4 linked regions of the Tamandua tetradactyla genome follow. The protein of the gene in region 4 interacts with the protein of the main gene of each other region in a biochemical or structural test. Links are inferred from orthologs where the notes say so. Each region holds a gene or a part of one and is shown on either strand. Other genes may lie near its edges.

Region 1 (7,113 bases), on a different chromosome or scaffold from region 4:
GAACAGTTTTCCAAAATACCATCAGTATTTGAGAAAAGATTTTACCTTGTACTTCTTTATCATGATACTCCTTCAGTTTTGTCCAAAGTTCCTTGAAGTCATTAGATATATCTGCAGAACTAGGACTTCCAGAACTGCTTCCAGATATGTTCATCTTGCTTAATATACTCCACACTTTTATTTGCCTAATATTTTCTGACCCTTTCTTTTACATTATATAGATATGAAGTTGCCTGTGGAGACCATTGATATATCTGAAACAAAAGATTACAACACAAATGAATTTTGCATGATTACTCAAGGACAAAACACAAGCCCAGCTGTCCTCATGTTTTCTTTATTTACCTACAATTCATCACTTTAAAAGGAGGGAGGGAAAAATGAGGGAAGATTAAAGTGAGAAGAAGCCCTGATTTCAGTAATTCGTTTTTTAGTTAAGCTAAATTTTACCTAAATTACGCTAAATTGAAAGGATCCTGATATTGAGAGGTTCTTTTTAGCATAGGCAGGCTCCCAGAAACGAACCGAGCATGGCAGGCAAGAACTCTGCCACTGAGCCACTGCTGCACTGCCCTATTGAGAGGTTCTTGATTAACCATGGTCAGTACTGATTTAACATTAAAAGACTATATTGCTTTTTAATTTTTGGATTGATGTAAGGTGCAGCAATATGTCGAATCCCAAACTGGAAAACATTCTGAAATATTCTTGTATTAACAAGTACCAACATGTATATACATATCTATATACATATAGACATATATGTGTTATAAGAGAGCAAGACTAATGACTGATGTATTAATACAAATGGGCTCTGGATAGCTTTCTCATAAGTCAGTGAGCAAAATACATATACAACAAAGTTGTATAAGTATAGAAGGGAAAGGCAATTAAGGTAAAGCTCTTTCGTGCCTCTGTCAAAGTAATGGTGAATGATTAATTTTTATTTCTTGTGTAACCAATAAAGAAAGTGACAGGGTATTAAGAAGTTCAAGAGGATTAATAAATTATTTTAGGATGTGTTCTTTAAACTGAAGCCACTAAGAAGCTACTACTAAAAAAGGAAAATGAGTAACATAGTAAATAAGCTATGGTCTTCTAACCCAAGAAGGGTTTTGTGTGAAGCCACTTAAATTATAAAGCACCGCAGAAATAAAAGTTAACTTTTATTAAGCATTTAAAAAACTGGGATTAGATTTTTTTAAGACAATGAGTGAAAATAATGTGTACTTGATTTCAGATATTTGGAATTTATTGCTCATTTCTTGTGTATGATAGAATTTTTTTTAAATGTCCTAATCTGTTAAGGAGTATATACTGAGGTACTTACAGGTAAATGACATATTGTTTGGGATTTGTTTTAAAATACTCCAGCTAAAACAAAAAAATGATTTTGGATGGGGAGATGAAAGAAGGGCTGAGCACTGGCAATTATTAAAGCTGGGTGATGATGAATGGATATATGAGAGGGTCCATAATTCTAGTGTTTCTTTCTTGGGTATGTTTATATTTTCCATTACAATTTTTTAAAATGAGATTAAATGCACTGCATTAACACAGCTTTGTTTCCAAAGAGGCTTGTATTCTACTATTTTTAACACTAAAAAAATAATCAGCCTGTATTACCGTCAATAAAAGTTACCATTTATTATTTACTATATGCCACGGACTGTACCATTTTACATTCACCGTTTTACTTAATCCTCCGAACAATTTTATAAAAGTTATTATTATTAATTTCATTTTAGAGAGAATACAGACATTTGCGACCTCCTCATGGTCACAGCTAGGATTACATGGCTATGTCCGGGTTGAAACAAGTGATACCAATAACTGCAAAATAATTCCTCTTTGTGGCAAAAAAGGTGTATGTGTGTGTGAAAATTTTTTCATTAACTAGTTAAAAGAACAGCATAGTATTAGTTTAAAACCGAGTATAAAATACTTCTCCTTTAAGAAACCCCTCTCTATTTAGACAGTAAAAAAAGGGCTATGTGGCTTTTTTTTTTAACCATTAAAACACTTAATACTAAACTTACAAATTCCGGTTCACGAAAACCTCCCCAATCTATGATGCAACGTCCAGTATTGACTGGCATCACTCCTAGTGCCCTGAACCGTTACTCATAGGACGATGCTCCTTAACTTCTCAGAAATGTCCACCTTACCTCCCAAGTGGCAATCCGGGTTCGTACGTCTGTATAATTTGGTAAAATTTAATACACCGCCCCGGGCAGTGTAAGCCACCAAGCTGAAGGTTCTTAGTAAAATATCTGTTTCCTGTCACACCACACGTATTCTCACACAGGTGGGGCAAAGGACGCGCCTCGAATCACACAGGAGACCTAGACAGACTGAGCAGGAGATCTGAGGGGTCATCTGAGCAAAGCAGAGGTCCGGGTTCCTATGCCAGGCCCCTTAGCTATCCGCCTGTCCTCAGGTGCCGCGCGAGTTATGCGGACGGGTCCCCCCAAAACACCCGGCGGGCTTTTGCCAAGTGCGACTGGCGCGGGTAGCGCGCGCGGAGGCGCAGGACGTAGTCAGCGCAGGCGCGGGGCGGGCTCGGCGCTGGGAGGCGTTTCCTCAGCCCGCGCGGGAGACCAAGGGAGCTGGAGAGGAAGGGCCCGTCCTCCCGCTGGCGCCCGTGGGCCGACTTCACCTTGGCCCCAGCCTACCTCCTCGGGCACAGTCGGAGAACCGCAACACGCTCCCGCACCCCGGGAGTAAACCCCGGCGCTTAGCGCGCGCTCCACCCTCGACCGGAAGTAGCAGCTACGACCGGGGAAAGGGGGAGGAAGCGTCCCCTTACCCACGGCTCCCAGTGCTGCCTCGAAATTTTCGAAAGACCAGTAGGGAGGCGGGCGCCTTCGGGGACTGTGAAGAGACGGCCGCTTGCTTTTTCCTCTTTTTGCACCAGACAGGCACTCCCAGCCCGCGGTTTGTTGAGGAGAAAGTCGACGATCGCGGGCTGAGCTCACCGGTGGCCGAACCCGTCCCGCCCGGGGCCGCGCGACGTCGCGCGGGAGTTCTCGCAGCGCCACGCCCCTTCCTCCGGCGGTGGAGTCTGGCTGCGCCCCCAGACCCACGGGACGAGGCAGAGCGTGTGCGGGTGAAGGTGGACTAGGACTGGCTTTCGGGAGCGGCTCAAAGGGCGGGCCACGCCAAAGCGTCTTTGAGATTCCCTGGAGACGACTCAGGCCGTTCTGTCAGGAGAGCCTTAAGTCCCGGGTGTTAGGTGCAAGGTACCTTATGGTGTATCTGACTTAAATTTCGAGGAAAGCCTGTGAGTGACCTGTACCAAACGGAAAGTTAGAATGAACTGATGGGGAACGGACACGGATCAATCCGTAGTTTCTGCGTTGTAGCTTTGCCTATCGTTTGGAAACTGAATGTTATAACCTGACAAAACTCCATATATTAAAACGAGACTTATTTTGCTGAGATTAAGTTGAAAGTTTCTGGCGAACCTGAAAAGAGAAGGAATCAGAAGTGACCAGCATTATTTGTTGGGACAACTTGCTGTTAGGTAATGTTTAAAATAAGGTCAGTTTTTCCTATGGATGCTTCTTTATGATATTCAAGCTGATGGTATGTTTTACTCTTTATCATGCTTTCTAACAGAAGCGGTTTTGGACCATTAGGAATTTTACAAATGAAACTGAAGAAAACAGACGGTGAACTAGAATCACAACATTTTAAAAACTACTCCAGTACTTTTCTGTAATACTTCTAAGCATGGGAAATGGTCAGAGTAGTATTGTAAACTTGTTTTCTAAGTAATGTTTAGAAAATAATAAATAGAAAGTGTAAAATTAATTTTTCTGCTCATCCTAGCTCTTAAGAGATGAGTAACAACTTTCTCCTTGAAATTGGACATTGTAATGGGACATGACGCACCATTCTGGCACTGCCATACTTGGTATTTTTAAAATGTGTTGGTGAACCTTCATTACCTTGTTATGGGAACCATCATTTATTCACTTCTAAATTTTATGACTTAATTCATAACACTTTTAATGAATGAAAAAATTCCCTATGCTATTTTTCAAGGCCACATAGGAGGAATAATGGGCAGTGAAGCTTGTATAAATGTTTATGGTGGAATTGGGGCGTTTTTGTAATAAATGGAAAAAGTCTATAACCAGTTTGTCAGATAACAGCATATGGACAGAAGGCTGTATTTGTGGTCCAAAGGAAAACCATCATAGGGGAATGACCTAACCTGTTCCTCTGTCCTCTGCCAATGGCTCCACTGTCCAGCCCATTTATGAAAGTCAGAATCCAAAGACTCAGCCTTGACACCTTTTACTGCCTTAACCTCCTTATTCTGCCCAGTCCATCACCAAGTCCTGCTAATTGTACTTACCAAATATCTCCCAAATCCATGCACTTCTCTCCATCACCACGATAATTCAAGATACCATGATCTCTTACCTAGTCTTTTGCTGTTCTACCCAACTAACTACCCTACCTAAACTTTTCTTTTCAGTGATGTTCAGAAAAATTTGTCAGCATCTATTCCCAATTCATATATGTATATATAATTTAAAATTGCACAAATGGTGCGGGCCATGGTGGCCCAGAAGGCAGAATTCTCGCCTGCCATGCCAGAGACATGGGTTTGGTTCCCGGTGCCTGCCCATGCAGGGAAAAAAAAAATTTCACGCATGCATTGCTGAAAGATGGTATATAGTCTGAGTCACAGTCTCTGCCAGTCAGAGCTCTTGGATTTGAATCCTGGCTCCAGTACTTCCGGAGTGGCCCTGGGCTAGTTACCTCATTCCTCTGTGTCTCATTTTTCCTACTTATTAGAAGAGGATAATAATAGTACCAACCTCACAAGATTATGAAGATTTACTGAGTTGATGTATGTAAAACCGCTTAGTAGTGCCCATAAACATAGTATAAGCTCAATAAATGGTAGCCATTATTAGTACTTGTGAGCTAATAGACTGAATATTATAACATATTTTTAGAGGATAAGAAAAATAGAATAGAAATTTAATATTAACTCCTTCTCTCACCTAAGATTGTGTCCACTTTGAGATCATTACATCTACTGTGATCTTGGAAAGTAAATCTGATGTCATTATTGCTGCTTAAAACCCTTCAGTGGCTTCCTGTTACTTTGTGAAGAAAGTCACTTTGAACTGCCTCTACTGCATCTCCAGCTTCATTTCCAAATATACTCTGCCTTCAGCCTCATTGGCCTTTTAGAGTCTTGAGAGCTAGTCTTCTACGCAAAAGGCCCTTTGCGTGCTGTTCCCTATACCTGGAATTCTTGACCAAGCCCGTCCTCTTGCCTAGCTAATTACTGTTCATCCTTTTATCTTGTTTCAGTGGTCTCTCCTATTAGGTGCTCTTACAGGTAGGACTTAGCACAGGATTCCCCATTTTTCATTTATCACAGGTTTATTTAAATGGTCATTTATTTAAATTTATTTCTCTTCACTATACTGTTTCTTGAGGTCAAAACCGTGTCTTGTTCATCATTTTATCTCCAGAAACCAACCCAGTGCCTGCCTAAAATCAGTACTTTGTGGATAAATGAATGAATGAGAAATCTCTGGATGGATTTCTGTTTTTTATATATGTGGAAACCTTTGGGTGTTTTCAAAATTCCTAGATTATCTTTTTAAAGTTTTATAATGGTCACTTTAACAGTAGAAATATCCATAGATATTTACTCCTCCCAAATAGCTTTAAGACCCGTATGGTGGAATAAATTATGAAGTACCCAAAGATTTGCTTAGAAAACGTCCTTAAACTGAGGAGTAATTATTTTGAACTCTTTGTAATATTGGTTTTCCTATAGTTTATGACTTTAAACAATGATCCCAATTTTTTCAATCATGGCATACTTAGAAAATGAATATTTGTATTACATATTTTGATAAAAGGTCAGAGGTCTTCCCCAGGCCCAGCACTTCCACCCTTAGGGCTAGGGAGTTTAACGGTCTCAGCACACCTATAACCCATTTGAGGCCCCTGGTTAGGATGCTTGATTTAAAAATTGTTAGAACTGTAGAATTTTGGAACTCATGTAGATTTTAAAGTCATCTAACTTAGGCTGTTAAAAATGAAATTCTTTGTTGATTCTATAACCTGTACTTAACTCCTACAACTGGGTAGCTTAGCATGAAGGGAAAATCACATAAGTTAGACTGGTAACGCTTTTATTACTGGTTTCAAACCTCATGTAGATATCAGTTGATCTTTAAAATAGCATTTGTTCAGATTCTTCTCCTATTTCCTTTGGTGTTTTCCAAACCTTCACTATTTTCTTCAAGCTCCTGAACAGTGTTCTTTTAGCAGACAATCCAACCTTCTGGTTAAACAAGACAACAGGTAGGGCTCAACAGATGTGATCTTCCTAAACTTCCCTTTTCCTTTCTCAACCCTGTGAATTAGGCAATACTATTTTGCAGATAATACAGCCTGAATCCACTTGTTTCTTATCACCATCTTTGCCTCTGGTCCAAGCCACAGTCATCTCAAACCTCTTTAACAGCAGCAACCTCGTATTTTTTCGGTCAACTCTCTGCTTCCACTGTTTTCCCCAAATAGTGTACTCTCTGGCAGCGTTGAAAGTGATCCCTTAAACTTTAGAACATGACGTTCCCCTGCTCAGAACATTCCAAGTTCTTCTTGTCATCTTAGACTAAAATCCAAATTTATTTCTATGGAGTCAGGACAAGTTAATCACTGTATTCTACTGACGTTATCTCCTAAATATAATTTTGAATTGATACTTTCCTTATTCATATTGCCCTAGTTGAGGCCCCAGTGTTTCTTACCTATACTGTAGCATCCCTGCCTCCAATCTTGTTCACTTTAATCCAGTCTCTCTACAGAGCCACTAGAGATTGAAACCAATATTTCTGATCTTGGCACTCCCCTGCTTAAAACGCTTCAGTGATTCTCTGTTGCCTAAAGGTTAAATGCCTAATCCCTGTAAAATGTTGCAGAAACCTTTTTTAGCCTTGTGTACTCTACCTCACACTTCATTCTTTCCCTCTATCAACAGAAAACTACTTTTGTTCCTGTCTCTTCCCCTCTTCTATTTCTTTGTCTTGGCTCATACGGTCCTTTTCTCTTGGAATTACTTCCACC
Region 2 (7,558 bases), on a different chromosome or scaffold from region 4:
GAGCTGACATGGAGCCTGACCATATATATAGCCTGTCTTATGCCATGTTAAGGACTTTGAGTCTATCTGAGAGAAACAAGGAGTCATTGGAAGAGTTTGAACAGAGAATGATAAGATCCTGCTTATGTTTTAACATAGGGTTTCTTACTCTAGGCACTACTGACATTTGGGGCTGATTAATTCTTTGTTGGGGACGGGGATGGGGTGCTGTGGGGAGGCGCTGCATTGTAGGACATCTAGCAGCATTCTTAGCCACTACCCACTAGAGGCCATTAACTCCCATATCCCCAGTAGTGACAACCAAAACTGTCTCCAGACTTTGTCAAATGTTCCCTGGGAGGCAAATCTGTCCCCGGGGGAAATCAGTTTTAACAGGAACATTGCGGCTGCTGTGTTGAAAATCCACTAAAAGCAGGTAAGGGCAGAAGGCAGTACACCAATTAAGGGACTCCTGCAAGAATCCAGGAGAGGGCTAATGGTGGTGAGGACCACGGGGTAGAAGAGGAGTTGGTGGAGAAGTGGGCAGATTCTAGGCATTTTCAACTCCTGGGGGAATCTGGAGATTCAGTCCGGAGAATACAATAATTGAGATAGACACAATGGCTACAGCAATGTTAATGTTTTAGTTTCAACATTTTTCCTGACCAAGACTTATAAGAAGTGAGGCACCCCAGCAAAGATTTAAGACAAAAAGCAATAACAAGATCCTGAACAACGTATAGCCCTTTCAAAGTGACACAACAGATGTCGATGACAATACGTTAGAAAACTGTGGAAAACAGTATAGGGAAATTTTGCCAACCCCATATATTTATTCGCAGATTTTATTTAACTGGTTTATTTCAAATAGCATGTGTCTGCTCCACACACAAGTTTTGCAACAACTTTTTTAATTTAGCCTTTCTCTCCATACCGGTTCTGTCCCACACCTGTTTCTAGCTTCAACGTGTGAAGCCATTTCTTCCCACATCCCCACAATTTTCTTTACACAAGCTAGCTAGCTACGATGATGTTCACCCTTACACATAAATTTCTGCCGACTCTGAAAAAGAACAGGCCCAAATCCTTCACCATGAGTTTCATGCCACTCATTTGTGTTTTTCCAGATGGCGTTTTCCTCACTCTCTCAAATTAATTTAATGTTATGTATCAGCTATCATCAAAAATGTTCCAAAGAGTCCAGTTAATTCATTTTTTTTTAGAACTCCCCCCACACACGCACGCATACTCCCTCATTGTGGCCATGTAAGCATTTGCTTATAGAAGCAAAAGCGGGGAGCGCTCGCTTGCTAAAACACTGGTCCCTTTAGGCAGATGCAGATAAAGCCCCAATGAGCATAAGCAACAATACCCTTTACACAATATAACCCAAAACCCCCAGCCCCCAACACACACAAAACAGCCATTATGAAGAGAAACCACCAACTAAAGGCTGGTTTTATCCTCCTAACTGCATAGGACATTTCCTTCCAATCTCCCGTAAGCATTTGCAAAGAGGCTGCTTCAGCATCTGCAAAACCAAGTACCAGAATGTGCTCTCCCAATGTGAAGGTTATACCTTCTCGCTCCTGATTTAGTTTCCCTTCCTCATTTACCCTGATTTCCAACTTTCTTCCCGGTCTACCAACCAGGCCCATTCACCCAGGCCCTACCCAGAGTTAAGGGCTGGACAGCAAGGTCTGAGATGAGCGCAGAAGCTCAATTAAAAGCTTCCAGTCTTATCACGCAATTGAGTTGGGGGAGGTGGAAATAAATTCTTCTCTGCTCTCATAGCCTCAACTGACCATACTTCCTCTCAGTAAACAACAGAAATGAGAGGTCCAAGGGGTCCGCAACAGCCACAGGGCATACAAAAAGGAAAATACCCAACCCATTCCAACTGGCAAGTGGTAATGGACATAGTAAAGGAGGGCGGCGCAAAGGAAGTGGGCATCAGAGGTGGTGAGAAGCCAGGCCAACCAGGTATCTTCACTCTCCTTCTGAAGTTTCTGAAGTCCACAGCAAAGTAAATGGGTGCTGGTGCCAGGCAGGAGACACCCCCACTATGTCCCAGGCCTAAGGCTTTTTGTTCTCCAGGGAAGGCCTGGATATGGACGAGACTTCCAGTGAGTTTAACCTAGACACGCCCACCTGCTGCCCCCAGCCTCTTTGGCTCTCTGCGCAGCGGATCAGGTAGGTGAGAGGCGGGGCCCCGGGAAAACTCTCCCAGACTCGCCAGGGGCGGGTTCCTCCGAGAGAGAGGCCAGTCTCCCTAAGAACCGACAAGCTAATTGCTTCCCCCGACCGTGGCGTCTCAATCTATCTCAAAATCTCCCTTTCCCAGCAATCGGCCCACGAGGATCTTCAGAAAAGGGTTTCACTAGAAACTGCACCCCCTCTTCACCCCCTTTCCCCGGAGCAGTGTCCCGACCCCGCGCTCCTCCTCCCCCACCTCCGTGCGGGTCTCTCCCCAGCCCCCAATTGGTTACAGCAGCTGACATCCCCTATCGAGGGTCCCCGTGACCCCCGTCGTCCCCGGCGACCCACGGCGCCCCTCAGAGTGCGCTCGCACCGATCCCCAGATGCGCACGGGCCGGGATGGCGCGGCCCCAGCTGCGAGGGGTAGTTCGCCCTCTGCCTGGGGGCAAGGGCACGGGGTCCTTGTCCGAGAGCCCGGGCAACTAGCTGTCTCTGGCCCAGGATGGGAGGCGCGGGACCCCCCAGCCGCCCGCCGTGCCTCCCTCCAGCTGTCACTACTCACCTGCTCTTCAGAGGCTGACTTTTGAGTTCGTAATAGGTTTTCGGCTCTTCGTGAAACTCCTCCCCGACTTCGAAATCCGGCACGATCCCGGATTCTGACTGCATGGCTCCCGTTTCTCGTCCTTCCACAGTTCGAAAGTAAGAACTGAGCCAGGGGGCTCAAGGAAGGTGGCAGGGCCTGGGTCCCCTGAGCGGTGCGCCCCGGCACAGTGCCAAGCTCAGCCCGCTTACCCGCGCGGCCGCCCGCCAGGGCTCTGTGAGTTTACACTCGCACTCGGGCGGGAGGGGCCGGCAGCCGAGCGCTGTCTGGGATCTGTAGTTCGACCCGGGTGGGGCATTCCGGCCTCGCGGAGGGAGCTGCTCCAGCTGAAACTACAGCTCCCACAAGGCCAGGCGGGTGGATAGGCAACGTGGTGGACACCGCTAGTGCAACTCCTGTTTGGATTCATTGTCAATGTCAGCAGCTCCTCTCCCTTTTCCCATTTGCTTCAAGGGTACATAATTGACTATTTTATATTAATAAGAACGGTTTCATCCCTGCTCTTCCACAGCTCAGACATGTGCGAGGAGACGTCAAAAAGTTTTGGCACTAGGAAGTTTTAGCGTTCAAGCTTGCCTTTAATAAAAGAACTTCCTATCAGCCCGCAGACTTCCATGGGCTGCTGCGACATGTCAACTTGTCCTCGGATTGGAACAGAGTGAGGAACTTTCACCTAGTAATTAAAGCATTATTGTAGAAATTGTTCTCATGCGTTCTTTTTTTTTTAGCTTGGTCTGGGCTTTTAGAATATTATTCATCTAGCTGTTTTCCTCTTTATCCAGTTATCCACTTATAATCTTAAAGCAGCACTTTTAAAGTCCGGTTGATTTAAGAAAGCACTAAGTTGCAAAACAGCGTTGGCGCTGTCTGTTTTTAATTTCTCCGTTGTCTGGGAACTCAAATGAGATCGTAATAACATTTCAAGAATAAAGTTGTGGGCTATATAAACCGTCCAAGTGTCAACCTCCTCCTGAACTTCTCTACACTCAGGTAACATTAAAAAAAAAATTTCAATCGATTACGGTTCATTTGTACTTTCAGCGCTTCCCTCTGAGTAGTTCTAGTAGGAGATGTTCCTTATTTTTAAAAGTGTTTTAATGCATTAGACAGGCAGTATAGAGTTAGAGGATGGCATCTAAAGTTAAAAAACCAGAATCAAATCCCAAGTCCTGCTCAGAAACACTGTGTGATCTTGGGCATGTCACTTGATTTTAGAAGCTTCAATTTCTTCTTCTATAAACGAGGAGATTTGCAAGAGAAAGTGATTTTGTAATCTATAAAAATAATACTCAGTGATCTTTCTTTCGTTCATTATATCTTGAAGACATTTATCTCAGTCTGGCATTTCACCTGTGTATTTCTCCTTTCAGAGGTAATGAGCTTATGATCATCATAGAACAAAACTGTAAAAAGTCTAGACTAATGATTGGTCATCTCCCAGGAGTTGCCCATTTGCCTGTTGTTGTTTTTTTTTTAATGCAATTTTATTGAGATATATTCACATACCATATAATGAGCCAAACTATACCGTCAGTGGTTCACAATATTATCATATAGTTGTGTACTCATCATCACACTTGATTTTTGAACAGTTTCATTACTCTATGAACAATAAAAATAGGAATAAAAATAAAAATGAAAAAGAACACCCAAAACATCCCATCTCCCCTATTATTTATTTATATTTTGTCTTTATTTTCTTACTCTCCTGTCCATACACTGGATAAAGAGAGTGTCAGTCACACAGTCACACCGTTAAAGTTATATAGTTATGCAGTCATCTTCAAGAATCAAGGCTACAGATTATAGTTCAGGCATTTCCCTCTAGCTACTCCAATACACCAAAAACTGAAAAGGGATATCTATAAGCGCATAAGAATAATCTTCAGAATGACCTCTTGCCTCTGTTTGAAATCACTCAGCCACCAAAACTTTATTTTGTTTCATTTCTCTTTCCCTTTTTGGCCTAGCAGTCTTTCTCAGTCCCATGATGCCAGGGCCAGGCTCATTCCTGGGAGTCAGGTCCCACATTGCCAGGGAGATTTATACCACTGGGAGTCATGTCCCACATAGGGATGAGAGCAGTAAATTTACCTGCAGAGTTAACAGAGAGTACCTGCTTTTTTTGTGTAATGAACATTTTAGCTTCAAATCAGAAAAGATCTCTAGGGATCTTAAGGAAATTTGGAAATAGTACAGAAGGTATACTGTATTGCAGTAGCGATTTCCAAATTCCCACAATAAAATTTGGTGCCCAAAGTACTACTTTTAGGTCCTTCACTATAACCATTAAAACATGACAGAATACTTCAAAGCACTCCTGAGGAAAATAGGCTTTTCATGCCCATGAATATGGGATCTCTGATTCTTTGAGAGACTCCTGGAAGTCAGATGTTGAAAGTGAAGAAGTGTTATCCCCTGCCAGAAGGAAGAAGAAGGAAAAACATGAAGGGTCCATTCAGTCTATCTGGACTCCTAGACTCACCTGGGGTCTCAACTCTAGACAGACATGTGGAATATGGGAGGAAGGGTTGATTGTCAAAATAACTTGGGGGTATCACAGGCATTCTAGTGGGATATGGGCCAGAAATGCTAAACATTTTGCGCACAATGACGAACTTTCTTGTTCAAATGTTAGTGGTACCCCCATTGAGAAATATTGTGGATTTCTTAATCTTTTGGCTCACTAGAAGCTTTTGAATCTGAGGAAAGCTATGCATCCTCTCTGGAGAAAACACAAATGTAAACAAAATTCTATACTTGATTTTGGTCTGTTGAATACTTGAAAGCTATCGAGAGCTTTGCATTAGAAGTGCAGCTTATAACCTCTTTAGAAGCATAATGAAACATTCCATTACGTCATTCATTATGTTGAACAGTGGCCTACCAGACCTAAGGAACAAGAGGTGATGGAGAAAAACCTGTCAAAAATGCTGAGACTTCCTGAATTTACCTCCAACTAGGGGCACCCTCCATAGAGATGCCTGGGGTGCAGGCTCTGAGGTTGTCTTGAGGCACACACAGATACCTGCTATTTCCCTCCATTTTTTTCCTCTGTTCAAGAAAACTTCTCCATTACATGTAGCAGGGGTTTCGATTGCAGTGCCATCTACCACCTAAGAGGAGTGGGCATGAGACTCCCACTGGCCAGTCAGAACTCCCCATTTCCTTAACCACATGATTCTTTTAGAGATGGACAGGTACCCAAACATTACCAGATGTCTTCCTTGGGACTTTTCTGCTAGGCAATTGGGGAAGCCTGTCTCTGGCTTTTGGAAGTATGGTGCTGGAAGGAAGAAAGCCTGGAACTATTTACTATGACCACATAAGGTAGCTAACCTAAAATGGGAAAGAATTAGATGAGATCCACAATCAAAGAGCAGCAGAAACAAGCTAAACTGAGTGTGCTGGTTTGAAAGGATGTATGCCCCCTAGAAAAGCCATATTTTAATCAAAATCCCATTCATAAAGGCAGAATAATCTCTATTCAATATTGTATGTTTGAAACTGTAATCAGATCATCTCCCTGGAAGATGTGATTTAGTCAAGAGTGGTCGTTAAACTGGATTAGGTGATGACATGTCTCCACCCATTTGGGTGGGTCTTGATTGGTTTATTGGAGTCCTATAAAAGAGGAAACATTTTGGAGCATGGGAGATTCAAAGAGAGCAGAGAATGCTACAGCACCACGAAGCAGAGAGTCCACCAGCCAGTGACCTTTGGAAATGAAGAAGGAAAACACCTCCCAGGGAGCTTCATGAAGCCAGAAGCCAGAAGAGAAAGCTAGCAGATGACGCCGGTTCGCCATGTGCCCTTCCAGCTGAGAGAGAAGCCCTGACTGTGTCGCCATGTGCCTTCTCACTTGAGAGAGAAACCCTAAACTTCATCGGCCTTCTTGAACCAAGGTATTTTTCCCTGGATGGATGTCTTTGGTTGGACATTTCTATAGACTTGCACTTGGAGCATTTTCTTGGCCTTAGAACTGTAAACTAGCAATTTATTAAATTCCCCTTTTTAAAAGCCATTCTATTTCTGGTATATTGCATTCCAGCAGCTAGCAAACTAGAACACTGAGAAATAAAGAGAAATTACTATAACATTGCTTCTACGCCTTGTTCCAACCATACCTGAAGTCAGATATCGCTCAACTTTTCAGATATATAGACCAAAACAAAATCCCTTTTGGCCGAAAATGTTTTTGTTGGAAATTTTGCCACTTGCAACCAAAAGAGCTTTGAGTACTTCGTATAAAAAACCTTTCACTCCTTGAAAGGAACATTTTTCTATGGACTGCCACACCGTCAATCCATGTAACAAAAAGCTGGTCACCTGATCGATAGCACCTGTAATCCCTCTTCATTAATGCATTGAACCCTAGGAGCAGGGCCACATCTGAAAACTGGTGAAGAAAAAAGTCCATAGCTCTATTCATTTCAACTGAGAACTGTGCCTATTAAAAGCACAAAAGGAACAGCTAGAAATTATAAGTATTTTCATTGGTAATATTATCTATATTTATGTTACACTTTTCTTTCTACAGAATGCTTTTCGCATTCATCTCTTATTTGAGCTCACAAAAATCCTGCGAGAATAGACACCAAAGGTCACTGTTTCATTATGCAATGAACATGTGCCCCATGTTCTGGACATGGCATTGTGTTAGGTACTCAAACTACTTCCTGCCCTTAAGAGGCTTACAGTCTATGAACTGAATGAAGACTGATAACACAGTGAAAAACTACACTTAAGGCAGGAAATGCTAAGCAGCACATAGATGGT
Region 3 (7,543 bases), on a different chromosome or scaffold from region 4:
TTGCAACTCCAGTCCTAGCCAAAGCTCAAGGACCATTTTAGCCACACTTAGAAAACTGTGGTCAGAGAAGCAATGACGCCCCCTGGTGCCCAGTATCCGGCGTGCCAGGAAAGAACCAGCTAGTCTGTCAGCTACCCCAAAACTGTTCTGGTAAAAGCAAGGACTTCCTCCAACAGCTCATGAGACCATTCAAACATTTTGATTCAGCTAATTCTGCTCATGGATCCAATTTCTCTTTCTACAAAAATCTCTATGAAGAAATGTAAAAAGCTTAACTAAAGAATAAAAAAGCATCCATGAGTTCTGTGATTTAAGGAAATAAAAAATCCTTTTGGCAGGGGATCCTTCTTTGAGTGCTCACCAATTCAAGAACCACTGCAGGGTCTCATTCAGGTGGTCGTTGAAAACATACAACTACACAGAAGCTTTTGCAGGCTTACCTGGGACAGGTGAATGTGGGCCAGCTGCCTCTGCAGCATCAAATCAGGTTATCAAGGAAGAGACCGTGTCAGACTGGGCAGGTGCTAGGCTAGGTGAACGCATTCAGGTGCTCTTCAGCCTGTTAAAGGCCAAGCTGCTGAATGTTTTTGCGGAACGGGTATGAAAATCTGCGGAATGAATGGCAAGATCTTCGGGTGAGGCCGACTTCTCCCCACGGACGCCACGCAAGAACGTGGACGTTACGAATCTACCAGGAACGAATCGTTACGAAATACCGAAATACCAAGAGCTCCAGAATCCAGCAGAATACGGAGGAGAATAGTGCTGACCAGATACAAACCTTCAGAGTGAACCCAATACCTGTGCTCTGCATCTTAACTGGGACAATGACAATTCCAGCGAGCAAAATTTCTACTCGCTGGCCAGTCTAAATCTCACTTCCAAAGAATAAGAGGTAACAGATCATCATCCTACACTTTTGGATTTCATGAACCAGTAAGATTTCAACAAAAAAAGGGGGGTGGGGTGGGAGGGGGTATTAAGACTTGCACAGTTTTACTTAACTAAGTATGGATTTTTTTTTCCTTAAACTATCATCTGCAGGCAGGCCACGGTGGCTCAGAAGCAGAGTTCTCGCCTGCCATGCCAGAGACTCGGGTTCGATTCCCAGTGCCTGCCCATGCAAGCAAAACAACAACAACAAAACTATTACCTGCGATCACTGTGATTAGACAAAATTCAGGTACTTAAGAAATACCTTTTCACCGTGAGAACGATCAAATATACCCAAATGTAGAGAGAACAGTATAGTGAGCCCTGTGCTCCAGTTATTCAGCTTCAATAATTTCTACATATGAAATTTCAATCTTGATTCACGTTCCCACCCCCAGATTATTTTAAAGCAAATCCAGATACATGATTTCACCCATGAATAAAAGCATACTAACATAAAATGGTAGACTGAGTATGCTCTTGGAATGAAGGATGAGCCTGATAGATATTTAGCTTTTAATAGGGTACAAGATCATTACTTTGTCTACTGAAAGCCAAGATCTTGGTCATACCGGGTCCATCAGCTCAAGTCTGGGACCTGTAGCTAGAAGATAACAGACTCTGAGAGTTAAATGCCTTTAACTCAAATTAATCTGAGACAAGGGGCTTAAATAGCAGACACCCACTCCATAAGTAGCTCCTGAATGCAGAGCTAAATGTCTTGACAGAGCTCAACCTTTACTTCAGCAATTCCACTTGAAATATCGTAAATAACCCAATACTCATTTCCTACTCTGAGATGTGTATATCTATTTATCTATCTATCTACCTCCAAGACTACTCAAACATAGCTTCCTCAAAACACCACTCAAGCACATTCTCTCTCCTTTTCCCCTTTAAATTCACTTTTCCAGGATGAACTGCACTCCAGAGTGACACCATCAGCCAAGTGCTGCTGGGGGAGGAGTAAAAGAAGCAGCATGCAGAGGCCTCCCCAGGGACCGCTGTTAGAGAGGGGCCTCCAGGGCTCTTCTGCAGAGCGCCAAGGCTCCGCTGGGAAAAGAGCAAATTGAGCAGCTTTTCCCTTCAAGGCTGGATTCTTGCCACCCATTAGAGACACTGGACTGTGAGCACCGGGATATTCTCACCTATCACCTCGGTTTTAGGGTGCTACCCCATCAGGCAGAAGGCCGAGGAAACCGAATATTGCCCGACAAGAAGCAACGCGTATTTAAACAGCCCACAGCCGGTACCGGCGCTCAGGACCGCCTCCTCCACCGTGACCGTGGGAAGGTTACCTTCTCCAGGGGGGAGCCCTCCCCACCTCTCCCAGTTACAGAAAACAAGCAAAAAGCTCTCTCCGACTGACTTTGACCATTCCAAAAAAGGTCGGGATCCGGTGTAAATGATGCTTTCGTGGGTTAAGACTGTGCCCGACACTGACGCTGGCCACTGCCGCCTCTCCTGGCCCTGGGTCCTGGTTGGGGTCCACCGGGGACAGGAGAAGGCAGATCTCACGCAGTGACAAACGCACTCCACCCGGCCCCTCCACGAGAACACCCTGGACCTCTCACAGGGGACGCATCCCAGCGTCCGCTCCTCGAAACTCCACGGGGACACTCCGGACCCCTCGCGGGCGGCGCTGCCCCGGGCCCGCTCCCCAAGCCTCCGCAGGGACACCCCGGACCCCTCGCGACGCGTGCGCGCGGCCCCTCAGAACGCCCGTGGGTGCGCCCCGCCACCCTTTGCAGCGCCCCGGGCCCGGCAACATCTCCACCCCTTTCCCACGGCCGCGGTGCGGCCCCGCGGCGACACCCCTGCGAACGGCCCTGACCGGCCCAGCCTACCGCGGCCCCCGGTCGGCCTGATACGGGCCCGCGCGGCGGTGGCGTCTCCTGCAACCCGCGGCCCCGCACACGCACCATCCGGGCCTCCGGCGCCTCACACACGTGTCACAGAGACGCTTAAAGAGGCCTTGCCCTGCGCAGCGCGCTGCGCCGACGCCAGACGCTCCAGCAACTTTAAGAGGCGGAGCTATCTCCGGACCCAGTTTCCTGGGCCCGCCCGCGGCCGCGCTCCGCGCGGGAGACGTCACCGTCCCCTCCCGGGCCCCGTCAGCCTACGCAATGACGCAACCACGCTGCGCCAAAATCGTCACGCAGCGAGTTCCCGCAGAGCACGTGATGCCGCCTCCACTTCCGGGGCGGGGCGGGGCGCACGCGCCGGGTGCTGAGTGCCCCGGGGTCACTCCCTCCTCCCTTCGATGCTTTGTGTGAAGTGCGCGCCCCACGCCCCTCCAGGGGGAGTGGTTCGGGCTAAGGTCCTGTGACCCAACTCCCCGGGCCTGGAGGGACTTCGTGACCTATTGATGACGTGCTGCTATCTTGCACCTGGCCGTTCTGACCTCACTCACTTCTTCAGCTGCGTGGGCTAGTTCTGGGGAGAAGCGGGTGCAGAGGCGGAGGGACCTGGGTCTGCAACCTCTGGGGGACTTACCTGCAGTTCGAAGTCGTGCGTGATGGGGACATCGTGCTCGGTCACAGCCAGGGAATGCCAAGGCAAAAGGGGTTTTTCGGATGAAGGGATCAAGAAGTGGTGGCATTCGCCCTTTGAAGCGTCCCGAGACTATTCCCCATTCCCTAGGCCCACCCCACCTTCCTAAAGCATCACCCCTTGACAACTGTATATTAAGGTCTTGGCTGAGTTTTTACAAAAACATACCGCTTTTGCAGTTTTTTCAGTCTTCGACTGAAACAAGGACTCAAAGGCTGGTCTCACTATTCTGAACTTGATACAGTGTGCAAGATGACTAAAGATTGGGGGCAAGGAACACCCTCAATGGCAGGGGAATCAGGAAAACTGGGTTTTATCCCACCTCCTCCCTAATTAGCTGGTTGCCTGTTTTAAATTACTCAGGCGGACATCTCTTTACTTCTGGTAATAAAACTGACAACGTTTACTACCTTTGCCGAGCTCAGATTAAGTGTGCTAGATACCGAGCTCTCCACTTTGCCCACATTATCTGATTTAATCCTCATAACCCTACAAAAAGGTATCATTGTTCCCATTTTATAGTTGAGAAAATGTAGTCTGATTAGAAACTTTGTGTAATGCCAGCAAACAAGTGGTGAAGTAAGGGTTGAAACTCAGACCTGCCAGCCTCCTACAGGGCCTCAGAGGTGCCCTTCAGTTCTTAGGTGGTGTCAAAGGAATTGGTTGAAAGGCCTGCATTCAGCTCAGGTGTGAGACCCAGAGATTGGGAAAAGCTTTTGACCACCCACACTACTACCCATCTCCCCCTTTACATTCCGTCCCAGAAGTTTTCAGAGTAGAATTCCTGGTGTTACAGTCACTTAAGACCAATTAAAAAGTCTCAGGTGCTCAACCTCAAACATCGCCAGAGAAAGACTAATTAAAACAGACCGGGTGGGCAATGGTGGTGCAGTGGCAGAGTTCTCGCCTGCCATGCCAGAGACCCGGGTTTGATTCCCAGTGCCTGCCCATGCAAAAATAAATAAATAATTTTTTTTAAAATTTATTTTTAATGTTCTTCCACAAGGAAGAACATTTCACACCCATTGGAATAGCAGCAGTTATAAAGATTCGATGTCAGAGAGAATATAGAGCATCTAGAACCCTCATACTTTGCTGTTGGGAGTGTAAAAAGATGCAACCATTTTGGAAAATAGTTTGGATGTTTCTTTTATATGAAACAACCCCCTGCCCAATGAGCACACATTGCTATAACTACTTGCTACCCATAGTCCGATAAGTTCCAAATCTACCTGTCCAGCCCACTCCTCTCCCCTGGTCTTTGTAATCATTGACCCAGTTGCCTGCTGGACATCTGCCCCTGAAATGTCCCCCAAATCCCTCAGACTTGCCATACCGAGAAACAGATGCATCTCCATCCCTCCCCAAAGAGAGCTCTGCTGCCTGCCTGTGCTTGGGGCGGGGTGCTGGTGCTCAGACCCAGTCCTTGCCTTTCTTAAATCTTTTCTGTGTCACAGGAAGGTGACTCCAGATCCCTGCATTTCCCAGACTTCACTGAGTGCTGGCTCCAGCTGGGTTCGGCCACTGGGGGGCACTGGCAAGACAGGAGGACAGAGGAAAGGAGAAGAAGGACCCTTCTCTCCCTCTTTCTGTTTTGAATGGTGTCTCCGACAGTGGCTGCAACCTCCAGGCATGTCCCCTCCCTGGGCTCTGGTGACACAATCTCTTCCCTGCAGTCCCCCTGCCTGGAGATAGGGACAGCGTCCTGCTGCTTCTCTTCTCCCTGGTCGGCTTCTCAGAGAGTTTGTACCAATAGGGTATAGCCAATCCCTGCATCCACTTCCTATCTCACAAACTGTATGTGGGGTGGTTTCCATGTTCCTAACTGGGGCCCAGACTGAAACAGACAGAAACCCCGACATCCACCAGCCAGGCTAGACTTCCAGACTGCTCTCTCCCTCACCCCACGGAAGTCATCAATCAACAAATTTTGCCAATTTTATCTCTCACATATTTCCCGATGACCTCGTCCTCTCCATCCAATTGCTCAAGTAAGGCCGCTCACCACGCTTGCCTGCACTATGGGAATGCTCCGATCCATTGCTCAAACGGTCAAACAGAAGAGTACACTTTGTTAGACACCTGAGTGCAGTGCTCTCCTGTCTGAAACACTTACCTGGACCCGGACGCTGCTGCAGAGAGCCAGCCTCCTTAGTTTGGGGTCTAATGGCCCCCTTGTGCCATATGTTCAGCTACTCCCTGCCCTGGGCCTTTCAGCAGAGCCGAAAAAGAGAGCTCCTCCCCCACTTCCTGTGTAGGTTGTCTGCTCCAAGCTCAAGCTGGTTCTGTGACCTAGGATTCCATTCCTTCAATTCTTGGCTTGGGCACTACCTCCTCCTAGAAGCCCTCCGAGATTCTCAGCGTCCCTGCCATTAGGTTAGACTAGGTGCCGCCGCCGGTAGACTTGCACATTCCACTTACATGTTGGAAGCTTAGGTGGCCTTTTCCTCCCTGCCTCACTATGACTCCTTTTTTTCACATGAGCAGGCACCAGGAATCTGAACCTGGGTCTCTGGCATGGCAGGCGAGAACTCTGCTTTCTGAGTGACTGTGGCCCACCCCTCACTATGACTCTTAATTCATTCTCAAGTCTTACTCATCTGCGTATCTCTGGGTTGGGCATGTTGCAGCAAAGATAAAAATTTGAGGGACCAAACCAAATGGAAAAGCAAATGCTCAAGAAGAGACAAGTGGATGCTCTCTAAATCTTGAAAGAGAAAACTAGAGAAATACCAAAGATGAAAGATTAAAATATTCTTGATAAAAAAAACAAAACAAAGCAAATCATAACCAAAATTGAATGCATTGTTGTGCTAACTCCAAGAAAAAGCTCATTCACAGAATAATAGCCTCGTTTTCCAGAAGCGACCCGGGGACTTCCTGCCTTGGATGTCAAGGTAAAGTGGACTTCAGCTTTCACTTTTACTTTTCCTGCCTGGTGTGTCCATAGACCTCCTCAAGAGCTGTGCTCATCTTTGGAGAAACCTGTGTCACATTTCAGTTGTAAATTGAATGTCCTGCTGGATAATTGTGATGCCTGTCCCCCTTCTTGACAAATGCACGCTCACTCCTCAAAACTCACCCTCCATGGCCTCTTGCTTTATGCATTTGGCATGGCTGGTACTGCGGGGTTTGGTGGGTTTCTTTGGGCACAGGCCCCTCGGTTTACCCCTGTGGATACAGTGTTACTCTGCAGGGTTGTTCCTCTGGAAGCATTTCATCTTTCTGTGTTTGGCCTCCAGGATGAGAGTCTGCATTTTCAATTCTTTTAAGTCTCATGCCACCTTGCTTTTGGACCCCTGTTTTCCCCATCTCTGCCCTGGGTGGTGTACATAGTTGGCCCAATCATCTTCTCCTTGCCGTGCCTGAGGCTACCTGGGAAAGGAGGAGGTAGAAGGGGACCATGGCAGGAGGCTCCCTACAGTGGGTTTGACTGAGCTCCCTAAAAGGATAAGTCCAGGTCTTAAGCCTCCATATCAGCAATTGTGACCTTATATGGGATTAGGGTCTCAGTAGATGTCATCAAGTTAAAGGTCATACTGAATTAGAGTGTCCTTAGAAGTTGAAGTGAAGAGACTCAGAGAGACACAGGGAGAAGGCTATGTGAAGATGGAGGCAGATATTGGAGGGATGTGGCCACAGGCCAAGGAATACCAGCCACAGGCAGAAACTAAGGCCTCTGCACCCCTGCCCAGGGATCAAAATGCTAGAAAGCCTGCTCATATTCACTTGTTCCACAAATATTCCAGAAACACCGACTGTGGGTTCTCAGTGCCAGAAAAAAGAGTGTTCCTGGGCATGGCCTCTGGCCCAGAGGATGGTTGCATTCTTTGGATGCTGTTGGAATTGCAAGCCCCCACCACCCCACCCTACCCCCAGCAGACACACCACCTCTGAATTGCAAAAGCAACTCTGTGGCCTAACTGGACAAGTGAGTAGAGTCATAGGTTTGGCCCAGGGCACATTTCAGTTGAAACACCTAGAGATACCTAAATACCTCCTTCTCCAAAGCCCCTGACTCTGGTCAGGCTGGACTGATAGAGGTGCTGCTGACACA
Region 4 (7,193 bases):
CCACCCTGCTGGGGGTGCCCCTTTCTCCCAGACCCTGTGCACAGGGGCACTGCATGCCCAGCCTCCCCACTCTGCCTGCCCATGCAGGTGCCCTGAAGACAGGAGCTCATGGGAAGGCCTCTGCAGCTTGCTCCCCATCCAGCACCAGCACAGAGCAGAGAGCACTGGCATCTGCTCAGTTAATACGCTCAGAACTTGGGTGAGGGAAGACCAGCCGCCTCTAAGCTATCATCCAGGCCAGGTGGGTCCTTAAGGGAGCCACAGACACTGTAAGGGGGCAAAAGGACATTCAGTTTGTTCTGGAGGGACTGGGCCCAAGGCAGGCACATGGGAGAAGCCAACAGGATGCTCTCTAGGGCCACCTGCCCGCCGACCTTGTGCTGGGACCCCACCTCAAGCCCCTCTTCTGATTTGACAAGGAACAGAGCTCCAACCGAGGCCCTGGCCTCGTTAGAGCCTACCAGAGCCACGGTCCTAAGCTGGCTGCTTCTGAAATGTCCTGTGCCCTGGAGCACCCTCACACCAGGGGCTGGTCGTATAGGACCCCTGCAGCCCCCCTGTGAGGGAGGACAATCTGTTTCACCTTTGCCCACCTTGACAGACCAGATCAGACACCAGAAAGAATGTTTTGGCCATTAGGGTAAGGAGCCACAGGTGTCTGTCCCAGGCAGCCTCCTGTTCCTACCAGTCTCTCCTCCAGGAGAAAACAGTCAACTTGTTACATTTCGATGATAAGCTTCCACATCTCAATCTACCTTCAGAAATGAGAGGCACTGGCTGAGCAGTCAAGTGCTATCAGGTGCTTCAGAGAAGGAACGTTAGATGATGCAAAGCCAAAGAAAATAAAACCCTACAAACTATAAGGTGCTGGAAACCCGCAAAGCACACCCTCCCCACCCCCGGACAAGGCCAGGTGCTCGCTGGGCAGGGCAGTGAGGTACAGCCTGCCCCCACTTCTTCCGGGGCTCCAGGAGGGGTGCACCTTTCATCAACTCTGCCAGCTGAGGGCACGGACTTCAGAGCCGACTCACTTGCTGTGTGTGCGTGGGCAAGACATTTATCGCCCCGAACCTCAATGTACTCATCTGCAGGAAGGGTGATAGTCCTGTGGCCTTGGAAGGCTGGAGAGGATGAACTGATAACTGAAGGAAGCACAGGCGCCTGTATGCTTGGGACACCCTCTGGAACAAGGCGGGGCACAACTCTGCAAACCCCACGCGACCTGCACTGAGCAGACCCTGTCACCCTGCCCGCACCTCCTCCATGCTCCCCCCATCACCCCTGTTTCTGAAGCAAGGTCCCAAGACTCCACCCCAGCCAGCAAAGGCACACAAGAAGGCAGAATTCACCCCATCACCACTCAAAAGGGCTAGAGCAAACGAATCTCTCTGTAAGCAAACCACAACGGACTTAAGCCAGATTTCTGTTTTCTGTTGGGTAGGTTCTTTAAATAAAGGCAACGTTTTCTGTATAACGAGAAACATTTAAAGCTATCATCTTCAAAAGGGAGGGAAAAGTCACAGTAACTTTGCAAACTAAGGAACTGAACATAACTTAGGATGATAAAGACGAAACAAGTTAATACAGGGATCCTGCGGTGACCGCGGACCATGCTCCGCGCCAACGACTCCTCTCACCTTCTCACTCAGGTTAACTACTACTTTCAACCCCATACAATCAGCACAAAGCAACTTTAAATATAAAACAGAACTCTCCGTCAAGTGCAGAGCTAATCTTCGGCGTGATCCATCGGCTTCACACAGAACGTCTTTTTACCAAGAAAACGGAGACTTGTTTTGATGAAGACATCAGAACCAAACCGACCCCGCTCCCCAAGAGCCAGCGTTTTTAGCAATCCCAGGCTCTCAACTCTGCTGTCGGCTTCGCTCCGCGGCTGCAAAGTGCTGCAGGTCTGTCGTCCGGCCCTGTGGCCCCAGAAATGAATTCCCCTTCGGCCGTCGAAAGCTCCGTGTTGGGGTGGACGTCCTGCCGCTTCGCCTTCCCGGCAGCTCCGTGCTCCGCTCTCCCAACGCCGGAGCTGCGGGCTCCTCTTCGCTCTCCCGAGCACCCAGGGGCATCCCCGAGCCGCTGCCGAGCCCGCGAGGGCAGAGAGGGAAAGCGGTGAGACCGCAGCCGCAAGGCCGAGGGGACGCCGGGGCTCGGGGAAGCTTGCCCGACAGCGACTCCGCGCCGCAGCCGCTCCCCCGAAGGAGGCGGGACGAAGTTTCTCGGCGCGGCGGACCCTCCGTCCGGCCCTGCACAGAGGTGAGAGGGCGCCGAGCCCCGGCGAGCCCCCGCCCGGCCCCCGCCGAGGCCTGCCCGGCCCCCGCGGCCCAGGCCAGGCCCGGCCGGCCCGGCGGCGGCCCCGGCGCGCCCGCCCCGCCCCGCGCGCGGCCCGCGCTCACCTCGGGCGGCCGCGGCCCCGGTGAGCGTCGCGACGAGGCGGAGGAGCCGAGCGGGCGCGGGCGGCGGGCGGCGGCGGCGGCGCTTCCCTTTGTCTCGGGACTTCCCTCCGGAGCCCGCTCCGCGCGCAGCCCGAGCACCTCCGAGGACCCCGGCGCGGGCGGGGCGCGCGGGGCGGGGCCTGGCGCCGGGCTGCCCGCCGCGCGCCTGCCCCGTGCGCCGCCGCCGCCGCCCAGCAGCGCCACCGCCGCTGCCCGCCCCGCGCCGCCTGCTGCCCGTGTCCCGCCGCCGCGCGCTCGCGCTTCGCGCCGGGCCTGGGAGCCCGGGAGGAGTACGAACTTCCAGTCAGGCCGCACTCTGGACACCTGCCCCCTTAAAGGAGCCGCGTCCCGCAAACCAGGGAGCGTCGACAAACTCCCTTTCTGGAGGTGCGCGTCCACGGGCGGACGCGCCGACGAGCTGAGGGGGAAACGCGGGACAGAGACCGCCAAGGGCTCCCCGGATGCCCGGTGGACACCTCTCCGGGCGCCGGTCCCGGAGGTCTCCTTGAGGTCAGCGCCCGGGTCCGGGGAGCAGGAACCACCGAGGCCTAAGGCCGTCCCGAAGCATCGCAGACCGGTGCCGCTCCCCCAAGTTCAGCTCCCTGTCAAAGTCCTTACAATTGGCCACCGCGGGGCCCGGGGCGGGGCGTCCCTTGAATCCACCCAATGGGCTGACGCCGTACAGAAGGCCGAAAGTTGGCGGCACCGACGGAGGAGAACTGCGGACGCTCCCTAGCCGGGGGCCGGCCCTGGGAGGAGGGGAGCCGGGGGGAGGGCGGGGCGCCCGTGCGGAGGGGCTCGCTGGGCCGCGGGGAGGGACTTCTCCCTCCCTCCTTCTTTCTCTCCTTCCGGTCCCCTCCCCCGAGCCCGTGGTGCCGAGGCCGCGGCTTCCCCGAGGCAGGGCCTAGTCGGTGACCCACACCTCATGCCCGCAGGCACCAGTGCCCGGGGCGCCCCGGGGTGAAGTCCCTGTGCCCCCGGCACCTGTGACTCCGGGGAGTCCAGTGAGGACGGAGGGGGGCCTGGGTGGGTTCAGTGGCGGCCGGGCCTGCAGAGGGGCTGGGGTGGTGCCAAGCGGCCGGCCCTGTGAGCAGGTGGGCCTTCCACGTCCCTCGCAGCCTCAGAGCTCCCCGGGGCAGCTCACGCCGGTGGCCCGCGCTGACCGAGCACAGCCTGGCCGGGGACGCTGCCTCCCCTGGGCGGGAGGGGCAGGCCCAGCCGCGGGCCCCCAGCTTCGTGCATGTCTGCACTTCTCCCCCAGCCCCATGTGGTCGGGAATCGGACTTGTAAACACATGCCCGGGGGAGCACATGGCCGCCGGGCTAAGCTGCCGTGGGGGTTGTGGACTGCACGTCTTCCATGGGAGGATGTCAGGAGCTTAGCACAGGGCTACGCGCGGAAGGTACCCAGCAGAGAGCCACTGCTGGACGAAGGAGAGACCAGGGCCTAAGTGGGCCGGGCGCAGCCGTGGGGCGCGGAGTGGGTAGCACGGGCCAGGTTGGGGGCCTTGAGGGTAACGGGGGTGCTGTTTGACAAGGCAGACTGGTTGTAATTGCAGGGTCCTGATTCCCAGGGCCATGGGGAGCTATGGAAGGTTGTGGAGCAGGGAAGGCGAGTCGGGTCCCCAGCTCCGTGTCTGTGCTTAGTGAGAGGATGCCAGGGGGTGAAGGAGACCTGGGCCCTGAGCCCTGGGAGCTCCTGTGGCAGCGTGGACAGGGCACACTCAATCATGGGAGGACCTGGCAGCGGGAAGAGGTCCAAGAGCGGTGGCCCCGACGTCTGTCTCGACGTCTGTCTTTAGAGACGCAAGATGGTCCCTGGGACCCTGTGAGACACCCTCGTCCCCAGGTGTCAGGCACAGGGCAGTCAGCGTGGACGGCTGAGGGTTCTGGGAGCAGCTCTGGACCCCAAGCCTCTGTCCACTTGGGAAGGCCCGAGGGGCTGTGAGGACGGCAGTGGGTGCCAGCGTCCCATCCAATGGGAAGCAGGTCCGGGGAGGTGGGAGATCCAGGAAGCCCCTGGGCAGCCTCTTACACGCCTCCGGTGGCAGGGTCGGACTCACCCCGAGGCTATCTGCCGCCTTTCCCCGGCTTCCCGGGTAGGCCCGTATGTGTTAGGGCCCCGGGACTATTGCCCCGTATGTATTAGGGCCCCGTAGGGGTTAGGGTCGTCAGAGAAAATACCGGATGTCCGGTGAGATTGGAATTTCAGATGAACAGTGAATATCTCTTTAGTATGAGTGCATCCCAGAAGTTACAGAGACCCACTTAAACAAAGACGTTATCTTTGTTTATCTGGAATTCTGACTTCACTGGGCACCAGTATGTTGAGTTCTTAGACCTGGCAGCACCCCATCCGTCAGCCTTGCTGTGGAACAGTGAGGACCGCGCCTGGGGCAGGCTGCCCAGAGCCAGCAGCTCTCCAGCCCAAAACTCCTCCTGCCCCAGGGCTTGCAGGCGGAGGAGGGCGTGGACCCCAAGATTCTCATCTCCCAGGCATCAGAGGGCACAGGCAGAGGAAAGGGACGCTGCGGGTGGGTGCAGGGGCACAGGAGGGGGCCCGAGAGGAGGCCCTGGGCACCTGGTCCCCCTGGTGCATGTCGGGGCCTGAGAGGACCTCTTTCCTGAGCCTAGGGTCTGGGCATGAGTCCCAGATGGGGCCCAAGGGGCGGGGAGCAGGTGCGCAGGGTGGGGGTGGGGAGCAGGTGTGCAGGTGGGGGAGGGGCCGGGAGCAGGTGCGCAGGCAGGGGGATGGGAGGGGTGCAGGTGTGCAGGAGGGGCGGGGGGCAGGTGTGCAGAGGAGGCAGGTGGGCAAGAGGGGCGGGGGCAGGTGCGCAGGAAGGCAGCTGGGGAGGGGCTCCTGAGCTGGGGAGCAGCCATCTCCTCAGATCCCGCCTTCCCAGGGCTCTGGAGAGAATCTGTTGAAAGAAGGAGCAGGGCCCCCAACCTAACGCTGGGGGAGGGGCCGAGAGGGGCGGCCCCTCCCCCAGCCTCCCTGGGCCCCCACCCTGACTTGGGAGGTTCCCCCCGCGCGGCAGCCCAGCCCGCAAGGAGCCGAGACCCCAGACCCAGCCGTGCTCCTGCTCCTGTCCTCCGGAGTTGCCCTTCCAAGCCCCCCTCTATCTCCCCGGGAAGCCCTCTAGCCCGAGGGGAGCGTCTCAGCCCCTCCCCGGGCCCTCGGCCCTGCGCTCCCGCTCGGTCCCGGGGGCGTCCCCGCCGGGCGGGCCAGGGCGGTGCAGAGGCGGAGCGGCCGGTGCGCGCAGGCCCGGGTGGAGGAGGGCGGTCTCTAGCCCTGCTCCTGGCAGAGCTGAGGAGTCCACGGGAGTGGATCCGTCATGAGTGGAAAATAATGAACCCTTCTGCAAACCCTCCTGCGTGAGCCTGTCTCAGGGAGCTTGCTTGTTTTTGTTTTTAATTTCTAAGTGACTTTTTAAAAATTTGTTTTCCGTATATATTACTAGAGAAGTTGTGGATTTACAGAAAAATAACACGGAAAATACAGTCTCCGAACATCCTCCCCCCCTACACACACCAGTTTCCCGATTTTTAACACCTTGCATTAATGTGGTGCTTTTGTTACAGCCGATGAAACAATGTTATAATTGTCCCATTAACTATAGTCCATAATTTCCATGAAGGTTCACTGCTTGTGAACATCGGACAGTCCTATGTCGTTTGTGTTTCCATTATTATTCTAACAACTTACATACAACCTAACGTTTCCTCCTTTTAACCACCTTCAAATGTGGAATCCAGGGCTGGTAATCATGGGGTGCTACTGCCAACACCAACTTCCATGGCCAAACTTCCCTATTGTCCGGACTAGAAACTCTGTACAGCTCTCCATCCCATCCCCCCCCCCCCCCCCCGGGAGCCTGCATTCTGGTTTCTGATTCTAGGGGCTTGCTCAATCTAATTATTCCGTGTCAGTGAGCTCATACAATATTTGTCCTTTTGTTGTCTGGCTCATTTCCCACAACACGCTGTCTTCAACTTGCATCCATGTAGTTGCATCCCCAGGACTTCATTCCTTTCTACAGATGAAGAATGTTCCATTTTATGTAACTGTCATCCCTATGTATCCAGCCATCTCTTGAGGGACACTTTGGTTGCTTCTATCTTTGGGCAATTGTAAAAAATGCCACTATGCAACTCTGAAATCTGAGATACTGAGCTGTTTGTATGTAACTGGTCGTCCAGAAACTTTGAGTATTTATGTGACACTTGAGACTCAGTGAGAGCTCTGAAGCTGTGAAGGTCAGCAGTACCACATACAGGAACTGTTTAAAAAGTTAAAAAAGTCATCAGACATCGAGTAGAGAGATGAATGGAGCTCATCTGGATAGGACTAAGGTATATCAGAAGACGGGGTAAGGGGTTCTATCGTCCATATTTTAAAACTTCAACTTCTATATGAGACTAAAGGTAGAGATGTTTATTTTGGTGCAAAATTTATACTTTCGGTAGTGTATTTCCTAATTTAACTTGTGTGGTCAGTTTAGTTAGCACCGTAAGTACTGGGAATCTTGAATAGGGCATGAGATTTTGTTGGTTTGTCCAGGTTGGTGTGATGCCCTGATAAATACTCAGTGAATAAATGAGTAGTTGCAGAGTCCCCTTGAGGGAATGGGGAGAAAAGGGGAAATATACAACTTCCCCATCTGGAGACTTTCTGATATTCTCGCAAGCAGTGGGGACAACCAAATCAATAGGCTGAGCCCTTGAACTTGGGGTTCGTCCCTAGGAAACT

What was found.
Region 1: the proteins of UBE2I (region 4) and RBBP8 form a complex in vitro, tested with the Homo sapiens proteins (2 studies listed by BioGRID, with this or other methods). The link is inferred for Tamandua tetradactyla from reciprocal best matches to the Homo sapiens genes UBE2I and RBBP8.
Region 2: the proteins of UBE2I (region 4) and MITF form a complex in vitro, tested with the Homo sapiens proteins (2 studies listed by BioGRID). The link is inferred for Tamandua tetradactyla from reciprocal best matches to the Homo sapiens genes UBE2I and MITF.
Region 3: the proteins of UBE2I (region 4) and USP36 form a complex in vitro, tested with the Homo sapiens proteins (2 studies listed by BioGRID). The link is inferred for Tamandua tetradactyla from reciprocal best matches to the Homo sapiens genes UBE2I and USP36.

Annotation. Positions count from the first base shown.
Region 1 is NC_135344.1:60,619,758-60,626,870, forward strand, and holds the start of RBBP8 (DNA endonuclease RBBP8), read right to left. Parts: upstream 3,013-7,113; 5' UTR 2,676-3,012; intron 2,522-2,675; exon of another isoform or gene 2,169-2,521; intron 255-2,168; 5' UTR 155-254; coding exon 46-154; intron 1-45. UniProt on the Homo sapiens protein: Endonuclease that cooperates with the MRE11-RAD50-NBN (MRN) complex in DNA-end resection, the first step of double-strand break (DSB) repair through the homologous recombination (HR) pathway.
Region 2 is NC_135341.1:14,361,708-14,369,265, forward strand, and holds the start of MITF (microphthalmia-associated transcription factor), read right to left. Parts: upstream 3,006-7,558; 5' UTR 2,845-3,005; coding exon 2,741-2,844; intron 1-2,740. UniProt on the Homo sapiens protein: Transcription factor that acts as a master regulator of melanocyte survival and differentiation as well as melanosome biogenesis.
Region 3 is NC_135332.1:71,213,469-71,221,011, forward strand, and holds the start of USP36 (ubiquitin carboxyl-terminal hydrolase 36), read right to left. Parts: upstream 3,019-7,543; 5' UTR 2,856-3,018; exon of another isoform or gene 2,781-2,855; intron 609-2,780; 5' UTR 441-608; intron 1-440. UniProt on the Homo sapiens protein: Deubiquitinase essential for the regulation of nucleolar structure and function. Required for cell and organism viability.
Region 4 is NC_135349.1:56,133,521-56,140,713, forward strand, and holds the start of UBE2I (SUMO-conjugating enzyme UBC9), read right to left. Parts: upstream 3,013-7,193; 5' UTR 2,921-3,012; intron 2,472-2,920; exon of another isoform or gene 2,406-2,471; intron 1-2,405. UniProt on the Homo sapiens protein: Accepts the ubiquitin-like proteins SUMO1, SUMO2, SUMO3, SUMO4 and SUMO1P1/SUMO5 from the UBLE1A-UBLE1B E1 complex and catalyzes their covalent attachment to other proteins with the help of an E3 ligase such as RANBP2, CBX4 and ZNF451.